Drosophila melanogaster: one gene and its partner. Changing the gene in region 1 together with any one later gene gives a genetic interaction. Each region holds a gene or a part of one and is shown on either strand. Other genes may lie near its edges. The genes, in order: pwn and Vang.

Region 1 (15,483 bases):
GCCCTGATCCCCTGGTGCGTACGCTCCGGCTGCTCATCCTGGTTGTCGAAGGTGCCCGTGGGCTTGATGTTGTAGTGGAAGTACCGTCCGGCGGACACGTCCTTTTCCAGATCCTCAGGGAAGTGCACATCGTTGGGTCCGATTGGCTGCCGATCATGCAGAATGGGCGACGCCGAGCGCTCCACTCGCTCCGCCCGCGTTTCGTTATCGTTCACATCCAGGGGCGATGATTGGCCTTCGGCCAGACCGTTTACGGAGTCCGCCATGGTGCTCTCGATCCTCTGACGGTCCGGACTGCGGTGGCTGCTCGATTTGGGTGAGATCTGTGAGACGCTCTCGTGCTGGCCAGCTGCAGAAAATTGATAGGAAATATGTTAGACAATATGATACCAGTGTAAAACAGTTAAAAGTATAAGTATAGAATCTATTCTTATCGAGGCGATTCAATGGCATTATAATATTAGCATCAGGCGTTGATCCTGTACCGTAAATATAATTGATTGCTACTTAATATACAATCACTTAGAGATATTTACATCTTTATTGAAAATGCATATTTAAAAGTTATGTTCGGTCGTAAAAGAGAGCCACACTTGCTTCGAATCAATAAGAAATCAAATTTAATGGGCCGCTTTTTTCAAATTATTCAATCAAATCAATTTCAAAATATGGGTCTTATACTTCAATGGGTACAATGTGCTATACCGCAAGAAAACGAAAAGAAAGGGAAAGAGTTGAGTGAAAAGAGCGTTGAATTCCGACGTTCGTTTTCCCTCGAATCCATCATCGCATCGACAGAATCTTCACATTGGGGTTTCACTTTTCACATGCCCATGCACCTGCCCTTTCCCTTACGCTCCCTCTCGATCCCGACCAGCAGCCACTCCGTCATTGTCAACGCGACTCATTTCCATGTGGGGGGAAACAATGCCCAACCCATCCAAAGTCGGCTCGGATCAGTTTCAATCTCTGTCGCAGGCTTGCCAGGCATCATTTGTTTTCGATGTCAAGTCTGAGTCGCAGTCTTTGTCTTTTTTCTGCCCGGCCTCTCGGATTCTTTTCACTCTCTTTGCATATAATTGTGTTTGTTTTCCTTCGAAATTGTGGGTTTGCGCACCCAGTGTGTGTGGATGCAAGCTGATGGCTGCATATCTGTCACAATGCTAGGGTTATATTGTTGATTGCCCTGGGTACTCGGCGCACACAGATGCATAAGCTCTTGGCCACATAGATACTCGTACTTGGTTTGGTGGCCTCGGGCCAGATCTGCACTCGCTTGGCAGCCTAGGAAGAATTTCACAAATTGCTACGTCAAGCGTTGAAAAGATGCCAGGCCGAGTTGTTGTTGCCCGATTTTCATCATTTCCTCGGATATGGCAGATAAATGAGCAGAGCCCGCCACAAGCAACTTAAATATAGATTGTTAACTTGTAGAATGCAGATGGCAATCGAATGGGGACAAGCACTCAAACCCACCTTGTCGATCGCTGAGATCGCGAATGGGCACCCCTTATCGCATCGTTACTGCAATTTTCCACTCTCATCCAGTCGCCAATCACACAGGGAGAAATGCATCGAATATGCAATCTATATCATATATAAATATATCTATATATAGATCTGATCATTCAGATCGGAGTAACTTTGCATGCCTTCAAAGCAATGGTTATAAATTATAATTGAATGTAGAGATGTTATAGATGGCCAGGAGTAGTACATATACTCGTGTGTTCCTACAATGGGTTTTAAGTAAACGAGGTCAAAATGAAACATTTTATTGATTCCCTTCGGCACAGCATTTGAATCCATCAACACTCAAGCTGTGAATTTTCCATACCGTACCGTAAACACATATCTCACTGAGCACTCAAGTGTGACCCAGCTATTCTTTGACACCTTCCGATGAGATTTATTTGCCGTTGGCTTTCTACGACTTTGGACTTTTCTCCCCCATTTTTCGGGTGTCAGGTGCATGTCATCTTTTGGGCCAGAACCAGTTTAGGTTGGAACAACAATCATAATTCACACTCGCGCGAAGAAACACGTTTAGCTATTGAGCTTAACCCAATTGCCGAGCTGCATTGAGGCCTCTTTGTGAGTGTCGTGGTTTTTTGATTAAGTTTGGCACAGATTTTACTTTCACCTGTCGCTAAACTGGCTCGCCCCTGATACAAAAATACAAAATATTTGTTTCACTTTCTTCGCGCCAGCTATTTGTTGCGATTTTGATATAATTAGCGCTTCCTTTTGGGCAGGCGAAACAAAAGGCGGCGACACAGTTTTCACTTTCCTTGCTTCGAATTGCTCATTTTCCAGTTTTCCTTTTGATTTTATTGATTTCGGGCCTAAGTGAGTGGGTCTGGGATTGCGATTTTTTTTGATTGGGTTGGTGGTGGTAAAAGTGAGCCGGTGGCTCTAAAACTGCCAGACATGGACAAAGCTGGCTAAATGTGTAACGCAATTTGGCGAACGAAAATTGAATTCCATTTCGGAGCGGGGCATGCAACACTTTCACGGCCAGGCCGCAACGAAAGTAAAACCACTTGGCGTCCGGATCTCTTGGCCATTAAATCCAGACGGGCTGGGTTGAATGCACCCGATCTGACAACGGCATGGGGACACCAGCAACAGTCGTCATTAGTTCCAGTGCTTGCCCACACTAACTCGATTGCTACTCCAGCGAGGACGCACGACTTGTGCCCTGTCTCTTTTCGGGCTCTTTTCTGCTCTTCCAGCTCCAGACCAACCCACACGGGCGCCCATTCCTTCTGCTTTGGGCCAACGCCAAACACGACTCCAATTCCAATTCCACTTAAATTGGCGATTTCAGCGCCTCCAAATTGCCGACAAGAAATCACTTTCTATTTCGCTGCACTTTTCAACTGTTTCCCAACGTGGCCAAAAGCAAAACAGAAATTAAGTCCGCCTGCTCGCCTCTAATGTGGGCAAAGCTGGCGCAAATAATTGCTTATGAAATACGACAATTTTCCGTTTTGACTTCAAAGTTTAACACACGTCCCAAAACGTTGCGCATACGACATGTATGCCCTGGCCACTTTCGGTGTGCAATTGCGCAGGCGTAGAAGGCTGGCTCGATTATGCAATAATATCATTTAATGGAGAGGCAGCGGGCGACAATTCGTTATGTTTTCACCATAAATAGAATTATGTAATTGCTGTTAAATGACGATGTTGTGCCGGAAGGCGAATTTCAATGACAATAAAATATCTTTGGAAAACATGATGTGACTTATTTGGCGTTTTTTGTTAAAATTTTTAAGAGCCTACCTTCTCTAAGGCATAAAATAATGAAAAGTATAAAGTTCGAATACTTTTTGTTTATAATAAGTAAAAAGGGCTTTAACATACCTATTTTAAACCACATGTATGCAATGATTTGCATTTTTCAAGTAATCCGAACACAATCTGATTCATTTACATCTTTTATTACACTCAGTCCCATCCCAGCTCACTATTTTCTATCTATGGAAACAAATCGAAAAAAATCACAAACACATCTCTCACCTCTCTATTTTAATACTTTCCCATCCTAAGCTTCTTTCATCTTTTGAATTGGCCCGTAAACATAACTCAGCCGCCCAATTGTGAAATCCGCGGACCCCGCGGCGAAGACATCCATTAAAGAAGAGATGTGGTCAGTCCCTTATCTTGGAGTGCCATCGCAGCAGCCACGCCCCGAATGCAGAGCGCTAGAACCGCCGGGACGGACTGAACTGAATCCAATCCAATACACGGATCTCTCGGCGATCTCTAACGTCCGAGTGGAGCATTAAAAATTTGATTTAGTGCTAATTGATTTCCTGGGCGTTCCACTTTCGTTGTGGGCGTCGTGGCCAAGTCTGAGGTAGTGGTCGCCCGTGAAACCCAATTGCCAGGGAAAGCCGTTGAACAGTGGGTTCTAGTGCGAACTGTCCAGATTACCCTCATCCGATCCGTGGGAGCTGCCGAGTCATTTCTCGCGCTTTTCATTAGCAAAGCAAATAAAGTATCTGTGTCCCGGTCCCGAGCACTTGTGCAATCAAACCGTCAACTGGCTGGTGTTGCTGCTCAAGAGTCGTTGGTACCAACAATTGGCCAGGATAGAACTTGAAGAGCGTCTTGGCCAGACTTTTCTCCGTCTCTGGGAAGTCGGGCCGAGATGCATGAGCTGCAATTAACAAAGTGACGACGACAGCCGACACATGGCAGCCTAAGACAGCCTGCACTTCACTCGACCCAAAGTAGCGTCTGGGGAAATTGAAGCATTTCGCTGGAAAACTGATTTTCCGTATCCATATTCTGTGGTTTTTCTTTTCCAGCCACCGTGACCATGACGTTTGGCCTTTGGAAGTGCACGAGAGTCTTTCCTTTGCAAACGCGTGCCTGCCAGTTCGAAATGTTTAAACAATTTTATCCAAGTGCATTTTTTGCTTGCACTGAGAAATAATTTTTGTATGTCTATGGTCTCAATCGAGCGACAAAGCCAAATTTAAACTATATCTCTCCGGAATATTTTTTTATTCTTTGATCTTCCTACTTGACCATAGATTTTCTCTCGGTGCTCAGGCTGCATCCTTTGTATTAGGCCCTCAGACGTGGCTCCAAAGCGAATGACCTTAATCAAGGTCTAGCTCTGATCTAACCGCCTTGAGATCGGAGCCAAAGTCGAGGTAGAAGTGGAGGCACAGCTAAAAGCGGTTGCAGTCTGGCTGCGTTTCTGTTTTGGTCAGGCTTCCGCAGATGCGGCTGTTGCAGTTGGTTTCGCTCTGCTGCCTGCTGTGGGCCGAGTTTAAGCCAGGCCAAAATCCCAAACTGAATGGGGAAATTTATAGCCTGGACGCGCTCTGCTGGCTTTAATCGCGGCAGTGCAAAGTAGCTGGAAGAAATCCTCGGATATCAATAGACAATCCGGGGCATGCGCAGGGATCCCAGGCCCGATTTAATGGCCTCCACTTATGAAATCTAATTGTCTCTCATGTTTAATTAAGTCGCAGGTGGCAGCGAACGGAGTCGAGGCCTCTAATAGCCGGGCCAGAACCAGACTAAGCCCTGTAACTAGCTGCAATTTAGCTGGCGATAAGCGATCTGCACGATCTCCTGGGGAATGCTGGTAAATAGTTGAAATCGCATTCGGTGCAGCCCCCTAAACACGCCATGAGAATACTTTAGCAGTCAATAACTTGGCTTGGGTCAGTAACCCAGTGCTGCAGAAGGCGGTGGAGCCCCAAGATCCGAATGATCCATTATAGAGATTCTGTTGAGAAATGGAGCACTGGATATGTAATAGCGCGTATTAGAGATGGAAAACACATGATGATCCCGCTCCAGGCAACCGCTGGCCAACATTCGCGTCAAATTTAACGCCGAGTTGAGCCGAGCTCGAAACATATTGATTGAAAGGTAAATGGATACCTCTCTCTCACTCTCTCTCTATGCGTTTTCCCATAGCAATATTTCTCATCTTTACAGCTCCAGCTCCAGCGAAACTGGGTCATTGTACCCACAGAAGCCGGCTTAAGTATAGTCGCCAAACGGAAACTAGTTGCTAGCCAATATGGTCTTAATGGTCTGTGACAAGTTCAGGACTGCCTGTGTGTTGGTGTGTGTCAAATAAGAGTCCACAACAAGTGGTCATCAGAACCGGCTCTCTGCACAGAAGAACGCCACTTTATATACAAACTGTCAGTCAGGCAGCTTTTTATTGGACTATTTCCAACTGCGTGCCAAATAGAAATGGTGAGCTGCACCAGTGTGAGTGAGCGTGGGTATTATTGTGTCATTTGGGTCTCTGTTTTGTTTGGACAGTCAGCTAACTGCACCCATTTAACGGATTTTATGCTTGATTCTTTTTGTCATTTCTTTTTATTTTGGTTTATTAATTGAGGTTGGAATGTGTAGGGAAATTTATATACTCTGCAAGCTGGAAGTAGTCAAGTTCGTTGTTTAAGTCTTTCGATTTTGCTATGGGAAATAGGAAAACCTTCGTGGTTCTTGAAAACATGGAAATATATAAATTACATACTTCTTTATAATTGTATCACAAGTAATTTAGTTTAGTTCCATTACATTTTATAGTAATAGAATTTTTTTATAATATGCCGTGTATAAATTTTAAAAGCGTAAATCATATGAAATCCCTAACGGCTTCTTGTCAGACATTTCCTGTGACATGGGTTTCATGTTTTTTTTTTGTTTTGGCCGAATTCACTAGCTGGGTCCAAAATCATGGAGAGTCTGCGATTATAAAATTCCATTGGGAACCGGTTTGTGGCGGTCTCCCGAATAAAATACTGTAAGAGCACAAAAAGAGAATTTCATTGATTGCCATTGATAGTCCACGCCAAAACATGTAAGGGACTCCAGGCAAGGGCACCCAACCCACCCCCTTTCGGGCGGCAAGCCTCTCTGTTCTCCCACAGCCCACCGCAATTTAATATGGGTTCACAGCGCCCCAGGACGACCATTAAAGAAGATCGGAAGGGGCCAAAGAAATAAAATAAAAGAGGAGAGACACGCAAAACGAGATAAATTGTGGGTTCAGTTGGCTTTACCTGCCGATGGGTGTGTGTCTGAATGTGCGATCGTGCCTGGCAACTTTCGATGTGCTGAATTTCATTGTACAATTTTGGACATCCCGATCCGAGAGCCACTGCTCTTCTCACGGGAAAGGGAAAGTATGCAGTTATTGATACGGCTTCGGTTTCACGCTTTGATTGGGCAATCGGAACCCAGCTCAAGATCAGTCGGTGCTCGGCTCTAATTGAATGCTCAGGTCAGGGTGGGGAAGAGCTGGACCTGGAAATTGATTATTGGCGATCAGCATGTGAGCTGATTACGAACTTGGAGCATCTCATATCGCCTGGGTGAAAAGGGAACCGAAGAACTAATCTGCTGGAGGGTTTTTACCTCCAAAGCTATAAAGCCGGTCTGCTTAGATATTGGTATGTAGATATTGGTGTTGCTTGATTTATTCTGAGACTGAAACTTCTTTCATTACCATTTTTGGTGGGCCAATGAATTCTTAAAGATTATGGATACCGAAGAGAACTACATACATACATAAAGAAAAGCAACTGCTTTCCAATCAGTCAGTACCTTTTTTCGACCATTCTGGCAGCTGCTACAATCTTTTTGTACCGCGTTCAAAAAATTCAATTATTAATTGCGTCAGCAATACCAGTCTGTGAACAGGTGAACAGGCCACCAGGAACACCCAGAAATTCGAACCAAGATCGAGAATATGTGAGAAACCTGCCGAACGAACCTGCCTCTTGACCCAATTAAGAGTCAAGCGATAAATTTCTGCTCAGCCTGCAACGACGGCGGCTTCTTTCTTCCTCCTCTTTCGCATCAGGCAGTGGATTTTTGATTATTTATACGCAGCTCTCGCTCTTTGGAGCCACCTGTGGCAAGTGGGCCATGTAACCGAAATATGCCGAAAAATAAAATAAGAACTAAAAATGCGAGGGAAAATTGCCCGTGGAACCAGCTAATCTGAAAATTTAATCAGCTTAGCAGCTGTGAATAATGAGGGGCTCTCCGGGAAAGGGAACGCTCAGAAAAAAAAGGGGAATGAAATCGAAAAACCCACCGGGTTGCGGCAGTAAGTCAGCGGGTTAGAGTGTCATAGCTACAGTGGTTACAGTGTCCCCACCGAACCCGATCGAATCCATCGATCTGAGTCGGCTATTCGCTGACTGAGTGATGCTGGAAGTGCGGAGCCGGGAAGACGGACACCAAAGCTCCAACTCATGGCGCTTTCTTTGACACTTTTCCAGTGCCTCCAATGGCTCAATTCGCTGCGAGTATCGTATCGAAAGCCCCGAAAAGCCGTTAGCTGGGTGTAACTGTTAACCGTGGCACTGCTGCGCTTCTTTCTGTCTCACTAAGCCATAACTAAGCAGTCCGGCGCCGCGAGATTCTGTTTTCTTTTAATTAAGCTTGCTGTAAAATAATTTTCACTTCACCCAATTTTCCCGCCCGGCTCTATGTAAATTCCATACGCCATTCCCAATGCTAATGCGGCTTATTAGCTGCATGAAAGGTTTGGGCCCGGCTTCAAATGGCCCAGTAAACAGTGCAGTTAGCTTTAATTGATTCCAACCCGCCGAGAGCTGCCCGCCTCAGTTGGCCGGATTCGTGCAATTAAGCGGTTTCAGTGGAGTGGCTCCCCCTGGCGGAGGAAATAGCAGGTATTCATAGGAATGCATAAGTTTATGGCAGCCGTTCCTCGAAATCCACTCCACTGTACTCCTGGTTAGGGCCATTCCGGACCAATTGTACAGCTCACATGGGAAGCTGACACTCAATGCAGCTTAGCAAACAATACAGAAGCAGTGAAATCCTAGCAAAGCTTTAACTTTTATTTAAAGACTGCAAAAAATGCTTTTTATTTATTTAAAATACACACCACTATTTTCCCCAGCTTAGCTACAGATCAAAATGTTTCAAATTATAATGCATTTTTATTCGCCAAAAGGTAGCAAAGTTAGCAAAGGCTTTTATTTTTAAATTTTTAGTGGACATATTAATTATTATGCTCAGAAAAATTGTAGAAATGGCGTCAGAAAGTTCTTCAGAGAATCCTTACCTATGTAAGCCTAAATATATGAATTCATTTATAAACTCATTTAACTCATCGACCATCTGCAAATTAAATTTACAAGCTGTTTTTCACTTAGAATGGACATCACTTTGAAATGCGTAATTGTTGAGAATTGTCATAATAGTGTCCACTTTGCTTAAGTCATGGCTTCTAACTAATTGTGTATTTAGCATTCTGGTTTTTGCAGATTCTGGTTAGGAATGCATGATATTTACATTACCCTCCGTCATTCTCATTAGTTTTTACGTGCCCAATTACAGCGCCTGATGACGCCTTCATTTTCACATATTGCATAAGCTCAGTTAACGATTATAAGCCACGCAGCCCAAGTCATAATAAACTTTAATTAGCTTCGATTCACGCACGTCACGCACTTCGTAAGCGACAAAGCGAAGTGGAGCCAAACAAACCAAAGACAAAAAACCCAAGACGAGCCCAGGCAAAAGTCAATGAATCCGGTATGAATAATCGCAATTGTGCAACTTGAGCTAACCCTCCGTGGGCACTGGCCAATGAATCATAGCCGCGCAGTTTTGATCTTCACTAGAAACCCAGCTGTAGATGCGATCGACCCAGTTTAGGGGCTGCAAAGCCTCTCGAAAAGTGTCACCTAGATGGCATATCTAGGCTTTTAGTAGGTCAAGCCCGTATTTCACTGGCAAAAAAAAGAGAAGCAGCTAACTTCTTGGCGTGCTCGACAATTGAACGCACTTGTGCGGGGGTGCTGACACCTCCAACTCAGTACAGTTAGCACACTTCATTACGTTTGGCACAGTTAGGCAGGTAGGCACCCAAGTACCAGGTACCAAGTACCCCGACCCATCCGATTCCCCCCCCCCCCCCACCAAGCTATGCATTCTCAGTAACGCCTAATAAATTATGCAGCAAACGCAAGCTTTCTAAAAGCCAGCAGACGAAAATGAGAAGAACAATCACGTACGAGTGCTGGCGAGGAATGCCTCTGGCTGACTGAAGCATCTTCATCAAGTGCTGGCACGTCGGGCGAATTCTTTCTGATTTTCTGCTTTTTGTGAACCAACATTCCTCAGAAATGTATCAAATTAAAAATTAAAATTATGCTCACGTGTGGAAAAAGCTGTTCGCTTGTAATAACTAAATGCTCGCTTGAGCAGAACCCTCGGTGAAAACATATGCTTATTTGAGATAAGATGCACTCAGAACAAGTGCGAGAGATTCGCTTGGATGATGCAGAGGTGCGAGAAAAGTAGGAAGATTCGATTCAGATGACCGCAAGGTGGAGTGGGTTCTTGTTGCACAAGAGTGCATTTGATTTTCATATACCTTCCCAACCAATTGGGCAACTTCCAATGAGGACAAATCCAGTCAATTTTGCATCAATTGAAAAAACTATGCAAATATCAACACAAGATCTTGGCTTTATCTCAACTTTCATCCTCCCACTTTGTTTGAACCCGTGAAAGTTGTCTGCTGGCACAGGCCTCACAATTAAAGTTCAATTTATTAACTGAATGCATGTGAAATTCTTTTGTTGGGCATGTCACTGTCCCTCTCCCCGTACTGTACCCGCTTCTGGCCAAGACTTACCTGTTGTTTGAACGAGGAGCAGCAAAAGAGCCAGTGGCAACGTCGACACGACCATGGCCATCAAGTGTCGATGGTCTCTCGGCCTTCTATTGTTGGAAATTGCTGACGGCCGGGAGGTGCCCCGACCTACTCCTCCTCCTCCTCCGCCTCTGTCTCCGGCTCTACTCGATGGTATAGAGTGTGTTAAGTTCTGTGGCTTTCGTCGCATGTTTGCATAAACTACGAGTTCCGCGGGCACACTCTTTTTCTTCTTTTAGGGTTATTGTCAGGGTTTACTTTATTTATTTTCGGCGTTTCGTTGTTTTATTGATCAACCGTGCTTTGGCGAGGCATGTTTTGCTTTGACCGAGTGTATTTATGCTGAAAGGAAGGAGAAAGGTGGTCAAACAGGCGTTAGGGTCGAAAATAATTCTAGGGTTTGTGCCTTAAGTCTTTTGATTTGGGAGAGTGGTTGGCAGTCGAAAAGCACAAAAACTAAAATAAATGATATGCGTTTTGTGGCTAAAGTGTTCTGCTTGCGTCAAATATCGTAGGGAATTAGTTTTTGTCTAATCACACACAAAAGTAAAATATGCTTTTGATGTTTATTTTGATGTTTTTTGATTTGGAAGAGTTTTCGCACTAGTTCTTGGGGATTTCGGTTGAATGCAGACCCCTTTCTCTCATTTATTCAAATCAATAATAAAATTCGTGCCTTAAGTCTTTTGATTTCATAGAATCTTTTCAACTGTTCAATGGTAATGCTAACTTCGTATGAAGTATTCTAGTTCCGAACATCTTAGATAGATATTAGATAGATATACATAGGCCTTATCACTTCTCCCTTTAATGGCCCAAAAAGTTAAATGTACTGCTTTGGTTGTCTAAATTGCGTCAGACAGCCATAGGGTCGAATCCCCTATTAACCGGCAGTACTCCACAATGGTGGCATTAGCATTTACATAAGCAGCGGCTTAGTGAGTCAATAAACCCGGCCGTTTAAACGGCTGGAAAGAAAACAGTTTAAGAAAAACTTCGGATTTGTTTGCCAGTTACGCAAACTGAAGCGTTCCATTCAAGCAACTAACCGAACTCGGCTGATTGAAATGCTAATTTTGATTGATGTCCAAGACGCTCCGAAATTGGCTGCAGCGAAAGTCCGGTCTCAATTCGAGGTGCCAGAAAGCAAAAGTGAAATTCCGCAGCGAGCACGGAGCACGAGCGCCATCATCTGGAGCAGATAATCTGTCGCCAGTTGTCCTTGCCCTAATCGATGCCAGCTGCCCGAGATTACCCAATGGCCGGCGTGCTAATCAGAAGCCAAAACAGGCCCGTGTCGCAAACCGCAGTAACTGAAGCAATTGCCGGGCATTAGATGGAAAGTGAAAGCATCCAGAGCAGCGGCAACGGAGGTAGCGAATGGAAAGGAAAGGTAAAGGTTGCTTCTGCAGCATGCGAGTGAATACACAACGTACGAGTATATGTGTACGTGATCTCAGACCGGATCGGATCGGACCGGTCGGACTTAGGCCGCCTGCAGTTGAGTCATGACGCGAGTCCAGGTCTGAGTCTGAGATATTTTGGCAGATCTTTGCTTGTGGCCTTTGCGTTTGTTTACTCCGCATTTCGGGCTCGAAAGGAACCTTGAAATATCTGCTCTGTACGCTTGAAGAATCCCAGTGAAATAGAAAGTTCAACGTGAGCAGCCAGAAGAGCAAAACCACAACAAACTCTATTTGCTTCGTGGGCCATTCGCATCTGTGTTTCTGTTTCGGTTTCTGTGGCTTTCTGGGCTGTCATTAAACGAATCCACTTTTCAGCGGATTGTTGTGCTTTTCCATTGAGCGACTCGCCCACACTGGCGGTTGTTTACATTTTCATTGGAATAATTGTTGGTTTTATCAACTTTGCTTTCTTTTCGTCCCGGGCCTTGGACTCTCAGCACCCAGCGGAAGTTGCGGCTGGTAATTAGTTTTCATTTCTCTCGCCTTCTTCAGTCTTCTTCAGTTAAATGACTCATGTGATTTTTCATAAGCCACTTTTTTCGGAGCTCGTCCGTTGCGTAACCGATTTCTGAGCCGGCAAAGCGCCAAAGGAAGGTGAAGGTGTAAGAAAAGGTAAATATGAAAAAGGGAGTTGAGACTTATCGACGGAGAAAGAGAAAACAAGAAATCGAAAATTGCATAAGGCACGATCTTTATGACTGTCGAAAGGTTGGCATAAGTAATTGTGCGATATATCCATTAGTACTGCCAATTTCCCAACGCAAGACTCTTGGGATTTTTGTTAACCAAGTATCTGGATTTTCCATTTCGGACTCACCTCAAAGTGTTTCCATTAATCACACGATTGAAATCCCCGAGATTTGATTGATGTTTTTGCGTGCAACTCTAATGCACGTTATTTTCAATTAGATTTTGCACATAAATAACGCCAATAATGGAAAATTTCACCAGTTGGTTGCGGCCTAAACTGCAAACTGCAAACTGCAAAGACGACAAGGCACACCAAATTGAGGATCTGGCCGACGCAGCCAAATCCAGCTTCGGATTCGGCCCCAACCGGACCGGGTAACCCAGTGGAAATGCGGTTTTGTGGCTTCGAGGAATGCAAAACGCTTAACTCTGAATAATCGAAAAGCAAAATCAAGCGACAGCTGCCCCCTGGAAAATTGGCACAAGTGCTCTCGAAATGGCACAACTAACAGTATCAAGTGCTGGAACGCGAATCGGGAGTGGGCAGTATACTTGGTCTTGGTCTTGGACTTGGACTTGGACTTGGCCTGGAGCAATGTAGCGGGTCGCGTTGCAGTCGACGGACGTGTGTAGGCCGTCCGACAGGTTGCAGCGGACCACGTATCCGGTTGGGGCAACCTGGCGGATGCGCGATGCGCAGCCTCGCTGATTCTTGCGCGAAAAGAGCCCAATTAATGCTCTCGGCACTCCTGGGCCCGAGTGGCTCTCTCTAATTGGGAGTGAAACGGCGGACAAATTATAAATTTGCAAGCAATTTCACAGCAGCCCAGTAAACAAAGGCCGCAGACAAAACCAACTAAGCCAGCCGAGCAAAAAGGTAGCGCGAAAAAAAGAAAGTTTTTGAAGTTTTCGTTGCTGCCGCCTTGGGGTTTGTACTATATATATGTATGTATGTATGTATTTCGCTTGTCTACACACACAGACGCGCGTCGCACAAATATCATTTATTCGGCATACGTTTACATATTGGCCGTTTGCTTCACTTGGAGAAAAACACTCATTTCTTTCTCTGGCTCACTCACACGCATGCGCAGCGCTGGCCTGAGCCTCCTAAGTTAACTTATTCACTTTTCATAGACTCGAACGCACTCACACACGCACACGGGACCGATGTCGGCTAACCCGGCGATGGCTTCTTCAATTTCTGGCCACAATCCACGCTCCTCACCTACCGAAAACCGTCAACAGGTGCGCACCGTTCGAACGCTCGACTCAAACTGACTCGTGCGAAGCACGAAGACTTCGCGCAGAGCCGAAGAAACGAGAAACCGCAACTCGCTTGGCCGCTCTTCGGAAGAGTGCCCGCGAGTGGAAGACTACGCAGCCAGTCTTCAGTTCGATTCTTCAAAATAGGTTTTTGATTTGGAGCTGCAAATGCTGTATTTTGCAAAAAGTTTCTTTTACTTGGCATGCTGATGGCAACTCTGTTAGGCTGTAATATCAGGTGGAAGACCAACATGGGAAAATCTAAAAGTTGGTCTTTCAAAAGTTCTAAAGAATTGCAAACTGATGGATCACAAAAGTGGCATTTGATGGAATTTTAGAGCTTATTCATTTAGATGTGTTACTATCTTTCCTTACAGTTTTTGATAGAGTATCCAATGTGCCACATGGAATTCACATAGATTCAGCCCCAATCGACTTGGGTCCGTGGGGAAGTGGAGCTACTAACAGAGTGCACTTAAACGGAAACAGTAACAATTGAAAGTGGCAATTTGGGGAGCGTACGCGCCTTAATTAGATTGCGGATTAAGATGGTCCCATCGAATCATATTCATGGGTGGATCCGCGGCGACTTCCACATGGAGTCGACTCTAATCAGCAGCAATTACTGTGCCAATTGCCCATGCCGATTCCGCTGATTTCGGCTTTCGATTGAAAATGAGAATGGCTCGTTGGAAAAGTGGGATTAGCAGCAATGGAAACATGATGGAGGAGAATCGAATCGAGGCAGTCTTTTCGATCGTCTGCGCATCATGCCACAAAACCATGCCCCATGACCAGTGAAATTGTGTTTGCCGGGCTTGTTTTCTTTTATTTCGTTTACTTGCCTCCTCTGCGTTTTCACACTTTTCACGAATCGACGTATCCATTGTTGGGCAACTTGGCTAATGGAATCGGCAAGCAGCCACCAGCGAACCATTAATTGAGCACGCTGGCGGCTTTAATAGTTCTAAAGCAGCTGGATATTAGTGTCAGAGTCGCAGTGAATCGCGCAGCGGTACTCCGCTTTAATTTTCACAATTAACTTTATTTATTCGATCATAAACATGTGCATTTACGGGAGAAGAGAGCAGGACTACTTGGCTAGTATTTCGGCAGCTCGGAATAGCGCGGCGGCGTGGACCACAGCACGCTGGAGTTTCGCTTCAGCTGGCTGGGATCGATGTTCGGGAATATCTGCTTTAGGTCCGGTGTGGTGGGCGCCACCGAGAAAAAGCTGTCGATGATGTCGGTTGGGCAGTGGCTCTGCATAGCAATTGCCTCTCCCCTTACGTGGCCTGAAAATAAACACATAAGTCAGAATCTATATTTAAGAACATTTCCTTTAGTAGTCCCAATGGAAATCAGACTGTAATCTGGTGTATTTACTTGTATATATTTACGATGAATAAGGTATCTCGAAAATAACTCTTCGAAATGATCCACAAACTTACTTCGACTCCAGGTGGGCGCTGGGGGACGCTTGTGGGTGACCTTTCCCTCGTCGTCTGTCGAGTCGTCTTCGTGCAGCATCTCCCAGGTGTACTTGGTTTTCGGCGGCGGCGGAAGCATCTTCTTGGGCTTGGCGCCGGTTAGCTGCTGCAGTTTCTGCTGCTCCAGCTCCTTGAACTTGGCCTTCTTGAGCGCCTCGGCTTCCTCTTGCTGGCGCATCTTCCGCTGCAGCTCCTCCAGCTCTTGTCGTTTGCGCTCTTCAATTCGCTTTCGCTCCTCCTGCTTCTTGGCGCGCTCGGCGGCCAGCTTGGCCATACGCTCTGCCCGCTCCCGCTCCTTGGCTTCGCGCTGCTGGGCAGCCTGCTGGTGCTTTTGCTCACGCAGCTTCTTGCGCTCCTCCGCCAGATTGTGCAGGCCCTTGCG
Region 2 (16,211 bases), 1.8 Mb from region 1:
GGATCTTTAGTGGCATCTGGTAGTCGTCACGGTTCTGTTTCACTGTCTCCAAACTGTCATCCCGATATCCAGTGATGCCTTCGTCTATGGAAAGGAGCACCAGTTCCAGACCGTAGTTATGGCGTTCGTTTAGCAGTTTTAATCTGTAGAACACTTGGATTAGAGAGGTGCGATGGGGGGAATGGTACGACATACACGTGCGCTAGGACCGTGGAGTCCTTGCCTCCACTGGCCGCTACGGCCACCTTCTCGCCACGTCGGAACAAGTTGCTGGAGGAGATTGTGTGATGGATCTCTGCCTCGAAGGCTGCGAAGAAGCACTCCTTGCACAGGGCATCGCCGGTTTTGGGTCGCTTTGGGCAAACAACATTATTAGGATTTATTAGGGGCTGTTTAACTTATGAACTACCTTCAAAGCAGCGCGATTTCCGCACTGCGACTTGCAGATAATGTGCATTTTTACTGACACTTAATTAGCACACAATTTAATTAACAGCTGTTGCACCTTATGCAGCAGTGACCAACACTGGCGTTATACAAAATCAAGTTACCCATCACTGTTTGTTTGGAATAGATGAAAAATAAATATAAATATTTACAATGAGCGCCGTAAAAGAGTCAAAAGCCTTGATCAAGGACATTCGGGAGACCATAAAGCTGGGCAAGCATGCGGAAGCCATACCCAAGTGCCAAGTGACGTCACCATAGAACATACCAGTTATGCATCATCCTAATGCCTTTATTGCAGCGCCTACTTAAATCGGAGCCTGAAAATGCTATGGGCTACTTGTTGCTTGGGGCAGCCTACCAGAATATCGACAAGGCGGAGGCGGCCAAAAACCTGAGGCAGTGCATCAAGTGCACGGATGGTCCGGCCCCTGCCGCGCTCCTCGGACTCGCCAACTGCGCGCCCAGCAACGAACTGCCTGAAATCTATGATCAGTTGGCTGACCTGCAACCGTAAGAATCTGCTCGTGACTCCCTGGTCATTATCCATACTCCATACTATCCATACTAGACTTTGTCATAAAAGGACTACTAAAGTGATCTTTACTTTACATTTTTAGAGAACAATCCTTGAACTATTGGGAAAAGCTTTTCAACTTGGCCTCTGACTCAAATGTGGCTCCTTTCTGCTTCACTGTACTTAAAAAGAGAGTGCAGGACACAGAGAATGGAAATTTTACGAAAATTCAGGAGTATCTGGGACGCATTTGGGTTTCAAACGACTTTGAAATTGCGCCCGAAGATACTCAGCTTGTAAGTTACCGTATAATTATTAATTTATTTATTAAAAATAATTTTGAAATATAAAGAATTATAATTGATATGAGCACTTTCATAGCTCAATTTCTTATTATAAATTAGTGCGTAATGACTAATTACACTTTTTTCAGTACAAAACGACTATGGAAGCTCTGCTGCAGAACTCTGAACCCAGTGCAAGGAGCGTGGTTTACAAGCGATACCTGAAGTGGCTTTACAAGAAGCAGGATTATGAGACTTGCGTGCGGCACGCCTGCAATATGACCGAGTCGCATCCCAAAGATGTCTATGGCTTCGAGTGGATATGCAAGACCTACTGCGAACACCACGAGCAATCCGAAATAGTTAGTTGGCAACAGGAGCTGAGGCATCCCATTCAGGTGTACGCTGAGCAGCTTCTGGAGCTTAATCCTAACTCTAACCTTGCTTTGTTGGTTAAAGCCCTGGATCTTTTCGCTGAGGGGCAGGTCGTCGCATCCAGGCAGTTGGCATTGCAGGCACAGAAAAGTCAACCTGCGTACAAAGTAACGCTGGAATTGCTGGCTCGTATCCACATGGAGCTGGGCGCATACAAGTTGGCCCTTCAGCTGTGGCAGGAAATTGGACAGGAAAACGACGCTTATGCTCTATGCTTATCGCACGAAAAAGGCGTTTCAAAACTAAGAGAAGCTGTCACGATTTTACAAACGCTTGAAAACTCCGAGGGCAATATTAAGTCTTTGGCTCGGTGAGCTTTTTATCAATAGTATTTGGTTTAATAAAATGCATAACAAGAGTTTATTTAATTTGCAGCTGCTACTTCAAGCTGGGCGAACTGCACTTGCTGAAAGATTTGCCCTTGGATGATCTGACCAAAGCAGAATTTGTTTTGTAAGTAGGAAATCCAAAAATTAAAGAAGTCAATCCACCTTTTCCATCTGCTATACTAGATCTCCATCTGAAGCTCTTCAAGAAATTGCTGACTGTAAGACTTTTGAGGCATACCTACTTTGTGGCAAGCTGCATATGGCGCTGAAAAACTATTCAGACGCTCTAAATTATGTGTTAAAGGCCACTCGACTGCGCCCACACTTTGCCGAGTGCTTTGACTATCTGGGCAAGCTGTACCCGCTGGCCACTGGGGACTTCTCACGAGCCCGCAAGTGCTACGAGAAGTGCATAAGCCTTAATCCCCTCGCTGAGGAAGCTGTGGATGCCTTGAGCTTTATCTACCAAGAACAGGGCGAGGAGGAACTGAACGAGACCCTGCTGCTGAACACATTGAGCCATTTGGGTAGCAATGAATCAATTCGATTGCAGTACAAGCTGGGTCTGCATTTCTCGCATGTGAAGAAGTGGGACAGTGTAAGCAATTGATTATCATTGATGAATCCGATTTAACACTTTTATTGCAGGCAATACAATGCTTTCGCATTGCCATTAAGAATGACTCCCGCTGCATTAGCTACTGGGAGTCATTGGGTGATGCTTATGCGGGACGCGGCTCGTACAACTCGGCTATTCGAGTCTTTCAAAAGATCCTTGAACTATCTCCGGAGAATAATTATGCCCTGCTTCAAATAGCTTCAGTGAAAACGGTGCCACATTCCAAAATTAACAAGAAAACATAAATAATTTTTACCCCATTTAATAGACAATACGCATGTACACTGAATCTATTGAAGATTACGATACGCTGCTACAACGTAATCCTACTTACCTGCCCGGACTTCGAGGTGCTGCTGAAGCGCATATTGGCATTGCGAATAGTTTGAAGAGCCAGAACTTGTACGGAAGATCCAAAGCGCATTTCCAATTGGCTCTGGAACACCTTCAAAGGTATTAGCTCAGCCAGCGATTTCGTGTATCTGTTGATAAGTTTTATCCATTCCTTACAGCGCCTTCCTTCAGCGTGAAGCTCAAGGAATGGTTTGGCTATGGCGCCTCTCAGCTAACATTTTCGTTCAGACAGCCCAGTTGCCGCATTCGTTGGCCAACTTGGATGTGGCTGGAAACCTAGCCAAGCGCGAAGAACCCATTGCATATCTTTCACGCAAGGATCTTCTACAGCTAGCTCAGCGCTTCTACTTGTGCGCCTTAAAACTGAAGCAGAATACGTACCTGTGGTACGAGCTATCGTTAGCCAGCTACTACAGTGCCATTCTCATACCCGAGGATGCAAACGGCCACTTAGAGACGGCGACTAAGGCGTGCAAAATGGCCATTAAGGAGTGTAGCAACAGATGGCAAAATTGGAATCTTCTCGGAGTTATCAATATGAACTCCGAAAATGAGAACTTGCCATTGGCACAGCACTGTTTTATTCAGGCTGTAGTGCTGGAAAAAAAGTGCTACACAGCGTGGACCAATCTCGGAGTTCTCTATATTAAACTGAATGAAGTCCGATTGGCCAACGAGGCCTTTACGAGAGCCCAGCAATCAAGTCCCGTGTACGCCAACGCTTGGATTGGACAAGCAATGGTTGCGGAGTTGATTGGCGATCGCGAGGAAGCCTTTGATCTGTTTCGTCACTGCCAGCAGTTCGATTACCATCCGGAGGCGGCGCTTGGATTTGCGCATTGGGTGTGCGAAATGCTGTCGACTCCTGGATCTTTCGACAAGCCGCGCATAAAGCATGCCATCGAACACATGTACGCTGATGTGCTTGCGCTGGATGCCATCAATTGGTAAGTATTATAGTAATGCCCTATCTAAAACCAACTAAAGACTTGCAATACATTTAAGGTATGTGCAAAACGAGGAGACGGATGCGACACCAGCATCGCTGTCGTTCCAGGGATTTCTCTACGCCCGGAAAAACCTGTATCGCCAAGCAATCGAAGCCTTCACTCGGGCGTGTAAGTTGTGCGAACCTGGAGCGGATCGTGACAAGCTCTACACGAATCTGGGATACCTGTACTTAAAAATAGACCAGCCGGAGCAGGCGGCACACGCCCTAAACACGGTTGCACATGCCACATTTAAGCCGATCATTGGCCTGGCCCAGGCATATTATCTAGCCGGTCAGTTGCAGGAATCCTACTCTATTTACAACTCCGTTCTCGGCAACGTGGTTGATCATGGCGATGACAAAGCAGCTACCATCCTCGTGGCTATGGCATCCATGATTTACGACTTTCAGGGCGAAGCGGACACCAAAACCCTACTCTATCAGTGGTTGGTAGCGCAATATTTGTTTTGTTGATTCAACATTTCTAACGTTATAATCACCAAAAGTGTCTTGTTGAAGGAGGTCCCCATTCAGGCGTTGTTTTCAGCCCTTGCCCTAGGTATACTTCATAGAGATAATGCGTTGATCCATACGATACTGACGGAGCTGAATGCGTACGCCTTTAAGAAGGAGTATTGTGCCGACATATCCTATTTAACGGCTCACTACATCCTGATAAATGTTCGTTAAAAGTGGTGAATGTTGTGGTTCTACAAAAGTAATACTATGATTTTGTTTAGGAGGGTGCCCGAAGAGCGTTGTGCTATCTACAGACTCGCATACGAATGTTTCCCAATTCCCGAAGTCTGCGAAGTGTCGTGCTAAAGTTTCTTCTTGATTATTTCTCTGATGACCAATCCTATCGACTGGCTACTTCAAATATGGGTCGAATAACTCTTACTCTGGGACACACTAAGCAACAAAATAGGTAAGACTTGGGAATTTATATACATTGTATTATGATAGACTGAATTTGTTTATATTTAGCATCTTGGCCAGCGAAGAGGCACTGACCACTATATATGCCAGTCAGGCGGTTAGTGCAGTAGACAAAACCTGTTCTATGAAGTTGTTGCAGCGCGCCATACTGCTAAGCCCAACTGACCAGAGAGCCAGACAATTACTTTCCGCTATTATTGCAAATTCATGATATTGTCCAACAAAATAAACTTACTTTAAAATTTAAACTATCAGTTTGGCGGTTGAATTGCCAAACTGATAGTGTTTGAAAACACTAAATGCAATGTGACCGTGCTGCTGATTGTGTTGCGGTGGTCACACTGCGTCGGGGGTGAAGCCAAGTCCACGAAAAAGTGAATAAAAAGCGAAAAATGTGCGAGAAATAGTTAAATAGCGTATGAAATAGCCATGCAAGACACGAATAGTGACAATGTGCCGCAGAATTAGCCGCAGATAAAGCTCTAAATCGCCTATAGGCTATGCACTGCGCCCTGCATACCTGCGTATGAAAAACCTGCTGCCGCCGCAATTACAGTTAGACACTAAAATAGCTGCACGGCCAGGTTGCAAGGTGATTTGGGGCACGTCTCTTCGCGAGCAGGAGATTCGGAATCGGGCATAGCTCTCGCGCGCTAGCCCAATTGCAATGGAAAACGAATCCGTCAAGTCGGAACACAGTGGACGCTCCAGACGCTCGCGGAATCACAACAACAACGGCGGAGGGGGTGGCGGCGGAGGTGGTGGCGGAGGAGGCAGTGTCAACAACGGCTATCACAGGGAGCGGGACCGCTCCAGACATTCCCACCGCAGCACACACTCCTCGAAGTCGGCCAAGGGATTTCAACGTGGCGACATGGCACCGTACCAGACCAGCGTTAATATGACAGGTGAGTTTGTTTAATGGCTCTATCGGTGGAAGGAAACCAATTGACCCATTTATTATTTGGGCACCAGGAGACGGCAGCCACGATGGCCAGGAAGTCATCGAGGTGCAAATCCTTCCGCAGGACGAGAACTGGGGCGAGAATACTACCGCCGTCACGGGGAATACCTCGGAGCAAAGCATCTCAATGGAGGACATAAACAACATGTGGCATCGTGAGAGCGACAAGGGCTTCAGCTTTGCGTGCCGCCGATACGTGGAGTCGAGCTTCTACTTCCTGCTGGGATGCGGAGCGTTTTTTTCGCCAGTGGCAATGGTGGTGATGCCGTATGTGGGCTTCTTTCCGTCGGCCTTCGATCATCCGGAAATAACGCAAACTGTTCGCACCCAGCTGCTGGCCTGCAGTGAGCAGTGCAAGGGCCAACTGGTATCGCTGGCCGCCCGGCTGCTGCTTCTGGCCATCGGCCTGTGGGCAGTGTTCATGCGACGTACATCGGCCACCATGCCACGGATATTCCTATATCGCGCTCTCGTCCTCCTTCTCGTCACCATCTGCACGTTTGCTTACTGGCTCTTCTACATCGTGCAGGTCACAAACGGGGCCAAAATCGTTGTGGAGACGGGCGGCGATGCCGTGGACTACAAGTCACTGGTAGGCTATGCCACCAATTTTGTGGACACTCTTCTATTTATTCACTATGTGGCCGTGGTGTTACTAGAGCTGCGACACCAGCAGCCTTGCTACTACATCAAGATCATTCGCTCCCCGGACGGCGTTTCGCGCTCCTACATGTTGGGTCAGCTGAGCATCCAACGGGCGGCTGTGTGGGTGCTACAGCACTACTACGTGGATTTCCCCATATTTAACCCTTACCTGGAGCGCATCCCAATATCGGTCTCCAAATCGCAGCGAAACAAGATATCAAACAGTTTCAAGTACTACGAAGTGGATGGGGTGAGCAATTCGCAACAGCAAAGCCAGAGTCGAGCAGTTCTAGCAGCCAACGCGCGGCGCCGAGACTCCTCGCATAACGAGCGCTTTTACGAAGAGCACGAGTACGAACGTCGTGTGAAGAAACGGCGTGCCCGTCTTATAACCGCCGCCGAGGAGGCCTTCACCCACATCAAACGCATTCATAACGAACCGGCTCCGGCACTGCCGCTCGATCCGCAGGAGGCTGCCTCGGCGGTTTTTCCCTCGATGGCCAGGGCGCTGCAAAAATACTTACGGGTTACGCGTCAGCAGCCGCGGCATACCTTTGAGAGCATACTGAAACATCTGGCGCACTGCCTAAAGCATGATCTGTCGCCCCGCGCCTTCTTGGAACCCTACTTGACCGAGTCTCCGGTGATGCAGAGCGAGAAGGAGCGACGCTGGGTGCAGTCTTGGTCCCTGATCTGCGACGAGATCGTCTCTCGGCCAATTGGCAACGAATGCACGTTCCAGTTAATTCAGAACGATGTCTCCCTAATGGTAACCGTACACAAGCTGCCGCACTTCAACCTGGCCGAGGAGGTTGTGGATCCCAAAAGCAACAAATTTGTTCTTAAGTTGAACTCCGAAACATCCGTATGACACCACCACAACGCCCCTCCAATCAACACTCCCACTCATAGCAACCAGACGCAATCGTCCTACTTGCATGTGTTTGTCTGATTTTCCCAGCTACTAATTCACATATTCACATATTTTCTTTACTTCAGCCAAATCGATGACGTTCTTGTGAGAACTGCCATCAGGGTAATTGAATTCATTTTTATATATGCCTGAAACACCACAACCAATCAAACCAAGCAATCAAAATTACTTATCAATGAACAAGAGGAGCATTTTTAAATCGATCAAAACCCTGAATTTAAAAAAAAAAAGAAAAAAACATGGAAGTTTAGAAAGGAAAAGTTGTTGTGAGAACAAAATGTCTAGGCAGGCCTCAGCAGCTAAATTTTGATCTTGTAACAAATGATTATTAGATGAGAAGGCAACGTACTTATCAGTGCTAAACTTGAACTTATGACCCGAATATCAAGAAACAATGCTCAAAAGCCCAGTGTATCATCCTAAACCGACGCGAACATATCACACCCTTTGATAAGCAAACATGACTTACAAGTTCCCAAAGTATTAATTATAAGAATGATGGTTTGGCTTGCCGAACCGCGATCTTCAGATATCAACTCTTAAATGCAGCTCTTTTATACACGATTTTTATTTTAGTAAATATGTTTAGTGTAAAGTTGGGCTTACTCTTCGCGGAATATCTAAAATTTTACCCGATATCTGTGAGGCGTGAGCCCGATCGCTAGCCTTAAGAAGGAATGGAGTGAGCCAAGGCAAGCCCATGGAATTTTAGCTAGGACTCGGACTTGCGTCGAAAGTGCATTGGCCACTTTTGACGCGACTTAATAAGATTTTACATACGCACATTTTAAGCCGAAACCGAATGGTCCTAACTCTTCTGCCACAAAGTTGAGAAACGACGAAACAACTATAACTCGAATGCAACTGATGACAAATACATAATATAAGCGAAGACTGCCTGAATATGCATTTTATACACACAAATTGCCAACAGCCACTAGCAGGTGTATGTACTAGCCTGTGCATAGCAACCACATATATACAAAAACTCGTGTATTTTTAGAGACAAAATTATAGTGATAAGGACCCGAATTCGTATTCGAACATGTGTACGTTCCAGTGAACCCAATCTATATATACATACATATATGATATATACCTATTTACAAAACTACTTAGAAACGTTTGCTTGAGGTTTGATTTCATTTTCGTTTTCTAGCTAAATGTCTTCTGTCGAAGCTCTTTTATATTGCAATTATCTAGCAATTACTTAAAGCAATTGGAAAACCAACCTAAGCATACATACCATTTATACATACATTTACTCTCAAACTGTAACTGTTGTAATTGTAACTAGCATAAAAAACAAAATGCGTAAATAAATCAAACCCACTTCTTTAACAGCTTTAAACGAATTGTTCTATCTCGAAGGTGACGCAAATCGTGGAAATGCGCACGTAATTAATTCATTCTTGGGGGTCTTTTGAATGTCTGAAAGTTGCCTTATCAGCTCGGGATTAACAAACAGTTCCTATATTGATTATTGAGCCCAGCAGGTTTACCAAATCGCACTGAAGTATAATGTATGAGTAGATTTAATCGCAATCAATCAAGTTTCAAGTTCTTTGTGATACAAAGACTCGAATGCCTCTCGAATTTCTATGATAAGAGTAATAAGCTCAATTAATTCAAGTGGAGTGAGCACGATGGTCTCATTTCATAAGCTACTTAAATATCAAACTGAGGAAACCCATGATTTGGTGCCTGGTGGTGGATGGTGCGTTCGCTTTTATTTACATTATTTCATAAATACTAGCCAAATGTGAGTGGAATACTAACATATCAGATATCCTTTAAACAATAATAGGCAACAGCTTGCGCTGCTGTTGTTTTTTGGCTTGTGCGTCGTCAGTGCTGTTGGTATAGAACTTTCAATTTTAGACAGGTCTACGTGTTAGATCTTTCGTCCCAGTCGCCTAGCGTATCCGCTTAAAGGTGCATTCGGATTATTCCTTCCTGCGCTGGAGGCCGTTCTTGCTTGGCTCGTAGAATTCCTCGACAATGGCCTCCACCATGGTATTCATTGTATTAGTCAGCTTGGCCCAGTTTTTCTCGTCCGGCTTGCCACACATTTCGGCGTAGTACTTCATCTTGGGCTCCGTGCCGCTGGTGCGTAGAGTGACCACGAGTCCGTTTTTGAAGGTAAATGTGATCATTTGGGAACTGGAGCTGGTCGGCAAGGTGGCCTTCTTGTCGCCAGTGCTACTGTCGAATCCCGTGGTTAAATCGCGAACGTTTTCAATCTCGTACTCGCCGTTAAGGATGCTGGTCGGATAGGTGTCTGCCTTGCCCTCGTCCCAGGTGCGCAAGCGCTCAAAGATCTGCTCGATGACCGGCGGGCAACGGCATATGACATAGGAGCTGACAGTCGTGTGGAACCCATATGTTTCGTAGATGTCGCGCAGTTTCTCCTGCAGTGTCATGCACAGCTTGCACCGAAGATAGCACGCCATAGTGGCCAAATGGCCAGCCGCGCTGACACCATCCTTGTCAAGTACGGTGGTGCCGACCATGAAGCCGATCGCCTCTTCGAAGGCAAACAACACAGTTTTTCCCGCCTGCTGTAGCTCGATTGCCTTGTTACCCATCCACTTGAATCCAGTCAGCGTTTCGAAGAACTGGAAGCCTTCCCGCTCGGCCATGGCCCTGAGAATCTTTGAGCTCACCGTACTGGCTATCATCACACAGTTACTAACATCGCAGTCGGGTTCTCGCATTTTGTGCAGCTCCAGAGACCACCAGCCCAAAAGAGCGCCCACTTCGTTGCCGCTGAACAGCTTATAGCTACCATCCTCGCGTACTTCGGCAACTGCCAGGCGGTCGGCATCCGGATCGTTGGCTAAAATTATTTGGCTGCTGTTGGCTTTCGCCGTTTTAATTGATAAATCCAACGAGGTCTTTCCCTCCTCCGGGTTGGGCATCGGAGTGGTGGGGAACTCTGGGTCCGGCTCCTGCTGCTCGCACACCGATATGAAAGGCTTAAGATTGATTCGGGCGAAAGCCTGCTTCACAAATGCATAGCCCACGCCGTGCATGGCCGTATAGGTGAATGAGAGAGAGCACCTTCCGTTGGCCTCCAGCGAAGTGCAAGGCAGTTGTTTCTTCAGTATATCGAAATAGGGCGGCACAACGATATCGTACGGATCCTCCAGCATTGTGTTCGAGCACATCGCCGAATCGTCCCAGGATGAGCCCTTGGGCTCCAAATTGTTTAGAATCGACTCCTGTATGCCCTCGTCGTGCGGCGGAATGATTTGGGCTCCATTGGTCCAGTACACCTTGTAGCCATTGTCCTCCTTGGGATTGTGCGAGGCGGTCACCATGACGCCGGCCAAGCACTGTAGCCTCAAGATGGCAAAGGGCACCATGGGCGTGGCCACGTAGCGCTTGAACAACCACACCTTAAAGTCGTTGTTTAGGAACACAATGGCCGAGAGCTCGGCGAAGCGGTGGCTATTGTAACGACCGTCATACCCGAAGACAATGCCACGACCGGACCAGTCCGCCGGATCAGGGTACTGTTCCTTGATGTACTCACATAAGCCCTGCGCCGTCCTGTAAACGAATTAAATTAGTCAATGATCCGATAAACTTAGAGATAAGATAAGATCAAACTTACTGAATCACCACCAGCTCGTTCATGGAGTCAAAGCCAGCCCGCATGCAAGCCCTCAATCCGGCCGTGCCGAAGCTGATGCGGGTGCACAGTCTCTTGCGCAGCCTATTTAATCAGCGAATTAAGAATATTAAGCCATGAATCATTTTGTTTGGATTATCCTTACGTGTCCCAGTCTTTCGCCCGAACTGCGTCCATGATTTGGCAGGCGGTGCTAGCGCATTTGTCCCATCGAATCCACTTGCGGATCTCGCCATCTAGCTCCGGATCGCCCGAAAGAGCCATGTTCTTGATCTCGCACAGCATCTGGCCGCCGGATTGACACATGGTGGCTGAGGTTTTTTGGCCAAAAGATCTATTTAATTTTATGTTGAATTTAGATGAATGCCGAACGGGAGCGGAGAAAAGGCAGCACTCGGTTGCTGACAGTGATGTCACAGCCCGGCAGCAAAGAAAAGCACACTGAGCTGCTACTGATGGGAGCGCAATTGAAGATCGACCGATCGACGTAGTGTTAGCCTGATAAAGTTCGCTGATGCGGCCACATACACATAGTCAGTCTGCCACGCCCCTTTATAAACATACGGCAAATTTTGACAAAGCGGACCCCGGTCAAATTTTTTTTATGCCGTGAGTTTGAGATGACAACGTGACTGGGCGATAGTGCGTCTTTTAACGATGGCATATTAACGTTTATATATGAAAATTAATAATAAAATATTTGTACTTTTATCTTTAAACACAGGGCAGATATAAACAGTCTAGTTGTCTAGCAAGTCTAGTTCTTAGTTTAGGCAGTTTTAAATTCAATTGGCATGGGAAACGGCAGAGAATGGGTTTTTGACTTATAGGCTGCAAGTAACCACTATTTGTGGATTGTTTTATATAAAGACCTATGTTTGTTGAAAATATGAGCAAAGTAACATATAATCTCGCAGAAGGAATTAAATGCGGCATTGTAATTGTGGGTTATGATGCATTTGCATACCCTTATTATTTCAGATTTTGGTAACTGAAATGAATATGTAGATGCATACATGAATCTTAAATCGCATACATCGAGTCGACTTTTTCGACATTCTATTCAAATACATTAATATTTGTATATGATAAATAAAATACTGAAAATCGAGTGACTAAAAGGATTGGATAAAAAAAATAAAAATATTAGGTTTGGGACAAACAGCGTCTGCAGTGTAATAATGCACGCTTTTCAAATGGTACTGGACCGAACTTATTATTTTTAAAATATACGCTGAATGTCAGCTGTTAATAAAAATTAATGGTGCCCTCAAATTATGTTTTACAAAAATATTTTACCGACCGATTAAGCACACAATTTTTAGCTCCGTCTTTAAATGTTCTATGTTAAATGTGTTAAATATATGTTAAAGAATTTTCAATGCCTATAACCTATAAAGCTAGAGTATTAATTTGAAAAATACATATTTGGATAAAACGCACCTAATAAGTCTACTTTAGATGGTTACAGAATAAAAAAGAACGGGAGAACTTAAGTATTTTGAAAGTCCAATCCTCCGGATCTTATTATTTTGCTAAGGTGATTTTGGCTGATACAATTTACCCTTAACTTCAACATATTTTATTAAAGCCAAGCTAATTAATTAAACATTGTACATTTTCGGAACATTTGTGGCCAATGTAAGTATTATTTTCCAAACATCCAGGCGATAGTATTCCTAACGGAATTAACCAACACTGACGATAATGCCATCTCCAGCAGAGTTTTTGCAACTGGCCAGACGCGGAACGAAAACGAAATAAAAATAAACCCATTCATTCTGCTTTTTAGACACAGAAAAAGAAAATGGCCGATGTGTTGGACATTGACAATGCGGAGGAGTTCGAGGTGGACGAGGACGGTGACCGTAAGTAGCTGCGGCAGGCTTTGTAATCCACCGGTCTTATGCTTTCTATTTTCTCCCACGCCGCGCCGTGCACCCTACGCTCAAAACAGAGGGCATTGTGCGCCTGAAGGAAAAGGCGAAGCACCGCAAGGGACGCGGATTTGGAAGCGACAGTAACACCCGAGAGGCGATCCACAGCTACGAGCGTGTGCGCAACGAGGACGACGATGAGCTGGAACCTGGTCCACAAAGGTCCGTCGAGGGCTGGATACTGTTTGTCACCTCTATCCATGAGGAGGCGCAGGAGGACGAGATTCAGGAAAAGTTCTGCGATTACGGAGAAATCAAGAACATTCACCTGAACCTCGACCGGCGTACTGGGTTCTCAAAGGGATACGCTCTCGTCGAGTACGAGACCCACAAGCAGGCGCTCGCCGCCAAAGAGGCCCTGAACGGTGCCGAAATAATGGGACAGACCATTCAGGTTGACTGGTGCTTCGTTAAGGGACCGAAGCGCGTTAAAAAGTCCGAAAAGCGTCGCAGATAAACGACTCCCAGCCCCAAGAATAATTTTTTAAAATAGTTTAATGAATAGGCAACCGTACAAAGTCTATATGAATTGAAATAAATCAGATAACTCTACCAACTACCCTTTATACAATCAATTGGTTAGAATTATATATCTTATATTGGTATTCATTTAAAGCACTACGAGGTTTGAAACGCAAGAAGGTACTACTTCATCTTTTTCTGATGCAGCAGATGTTTTCTCAGCGCCTGCTGCTTGTCCTTGAAGCTCTTCTTAACCTTGGAGCGAGCCTTGTGTCGCAGCATGCCAAAGTTCTTGGTTTTGCGCTTCTCGCGGTTCGTCTTGGAACAGTGCTCGTTCACGCGCCCATCCTTCCAGCCAAAGCGCTCGCGATCCTGCCGGCCCGCCTGCACAGTCTCCAGCCGCGACTCCTTGTCGTGCTTGCGCTTCTTGTAGATCATCTCGATGCTGTTCAGCTTGACGAACTCGGCGCGATCCTGTTCAAGTGGTCTCTTGCGGGCACTGGTTACGGTCTTCTTAAGATTAGCCGCGTTGATGCGCTTGAAATCTTCGTCCGTGAATATGCGAGTAAGAGCCAGTTCCTGTGCAGCCTCCTTTTGGTTAAGGATCCTCATATCTTTCTTTTCCTTCTTGGCCTTTGCGGACTCTTCGCCACTTTCCACGCCTTCGTCGGAATTATCTTCATCCTCATTCTCCTCGTCATTACTGTTCTCTTCGTCTTCGTCTTCGTCATCATCGTCCTCATCCTCATCTTCGTCTTCTTCATCATCGTCCGCTCCACCACCCTCACCATCACTGTGCGCCACGTTAACCCATTCACCATCGTTTGAGTCCGTATCGTCTTCGCTCTCTATGTCAATAGTCTTAGAGTCCTTGAGCAGAGCCTCTGCACCCAAGACAGTGTCGTGGACTTCGCGCTCTCCGTAGGCTCGAACCTTTCGTTCGGCCTGGGCCTCTGTCTGCCTGCCTCGGTCCTTTTTGTGCAACAGGGCAGGCAGCTGTTCCCTGTAGAGTGTGATTAGCGACCGTGCCGCCATCATCACCGACTTCTCCTTGTACGTTTTGTACATTGCCAGGTCCTGCAGCAAATCCTCGCCCATGGCCAGGGGACATCGCATGCAAATCTCACGCGTCGCATTCAGACCTATGGCCATCACATCGCTGGAGTTGCGTTCAGTAATGAAGTTGTTGGCGATCGTCTTTAGGATAGGCTCGATGATGTCTCCGGGAACCAGTTCGTGGGACGCTTGGGCGGCAAACTGGAGCACACGTGTCACCTGGCGTTGGTGGGGTTGCAGAAAGCGTGTTATGTACGGATAGAAACCGAAAAGGAAGAGGTCGTGGATGCCGATCAGCCGGGAAATAACGTCCAAATGCATTAGCTTCACCTCAAATCGCTCGTTGGTGGCCTGCAGCTGCTTAAAGAGCCCTTCGGCCATTCCCTGCGGATTGTGCACCAGGTGAATGCCTGAGAAGTTAAAGGCTGGAGCGTTCTTTTTCTTTTTCTGGGCCTTCACCGCTTGCTTTTTGATCTGCGCCAGTTGCTTGGTCCGCTTCTTGGTTTTCTTATTGACTCGATTGGCCATCAGAGCACCCTTAAGGTCCACCTCGTTCTCGCTGTCAGTGTCCTCCTCTTCATCCTCTTCGTCGTGGCCGAGGAAGAACTTGAGCGAGGTGACCAGTACTTTTGTTACCTTAGAGAAGCACCCCACAGTGGCTATGACATTCACCGTCTTAGAATCATTCCATATGTTTTTCTTGTACAGCTCGATCATGATATCAGCGGACATCTTGGCTGCCTTCGGATTGGCATCCTTCAGCATGGAGTACATGAATGCCTGCAGGCTCTGCAAAGACATAAATGAATATTGATTGAGTCCAACAGTGGTAGCTGACGACTGCGTCTTACCGAATTGAGCTTCATGTCCTTGTGCTTGGCATTCATATTCTTGATGTCCGTCACAATGTGCGTTTGCAGAAAGGTGCGCAGATTCTTGTCCGGACACCGCAGCAACTGAAAGAACAGTTCCAGTATGTCCAGCGCGGGCACTAGGTTCTTGTTTCTCAGCAGGATTAGAGCTTTCACAAAGCAGTTACGCATAGCCGGGTCCAGAACGGTGGCATAGTTCTTCAGCAAATCGGAAAGACGCTTTGGGAACTCCTCGCAGACGGCCGGATAGCACTGAGCCACCTGGGCGACAAACATGACGATGTCATCCAGGGATTTGTTTTCTTCGCTGGGATTCAGCGCAAAAACTTCCAGCAAGCTAAGAAAGTGTTGGTACTGGATGTGGAACTCATCGCTATACGACTCCGGATCCCGCTTGATGAGGTTCTGCAACTGCGGAAGGTTCTCCGGCAGCTGGTTGTTGTTGGGCCGCACCATGGTGAGCCGTTATAACAGTATAAAAACTACGATTATTTTCAACCACGTTCTGTTTGGTTCGCAAAGTAAACGCACGTGTGGTGTGTGACCGTTTGTGGGTATAGCAGAAATGCCTCACCTAAAACTATGTTTATTAATTTAATTAAATTAAATACATTTAGTCTTATTTACATATAATTCAATAAAAAAAATATATTAATTAATATAAGCTATGTTGTTCACCCCCACCTAAGTATTAAATTACGCAAAACTTAATTTGCCTAGTAACACCTAGTTACGCTGATCTTTTTATTATTGTAAATATAACACGAGCTAATCTAATTTACATCTTTG

Evidence for each region.
Region 2: of pwn (region 1) and Vang, changing one enhances a phenotype caused by changing the other (phenotypic enhancement), as found in Drosophila melanogaster (one study listed by BioGRID).

The regions. Positions count from the first base shown.
Region 1 is NT_033778.4:7,280,717-7,296,199, reverse strand, and holds the start of pwn (pawn), read right to left. Parts: upstream 13,629-15,483; 5' UTR 12,473-13,628; intron 10,532-12,472; 5' UTR 10,380-10,531; coding exon 10,172-10,379; intron 350-10,171; coding exon 1-349. Other genes in the region: Incenp (inner centromere protein), read right to left, coding at 14,713-14,906, 15,063-15,483.
Region 2 is NT_033778.4:9,097,994-9,114,204, forward strand, and holds Vang (Van gogh), read left to right. Parts: upstream 1-5,244; 5' UTR 5,245-5,582; coding exon 5,583-5,823; intron 5,824-5,890; coding exon 5,891-7,395; coding exon of another isoform or gene 7,396-7,476; 3' UTR 7,477-8,803; downstream 8,804-16,211. Other genes in the region: Ctu1 (cytosolic thiouridylase subunit 1), read right to left, coding at 1-143, 196-353, 410-457; CG8777 (uncharacterized protein), read left to right, coding at 601-693, 749-960, 1,068-1,260, 1,398-1,993, 2,059-2,136, 2,196-2,610, 2,661-2,843, 2,900-3,084 and 5 more; Pgm2a (phosphoglucomutase 2a), read right to left, coding at 9,405-11,013, 11,078-11,179, 11,241-11,401; tsu (tsunagi), read left to right, coding at 12,903-12,963, 13,053-13,489; Mys45A (mystery 45A), read right to left, coding at 13,678-15,339, 15,402-15,878.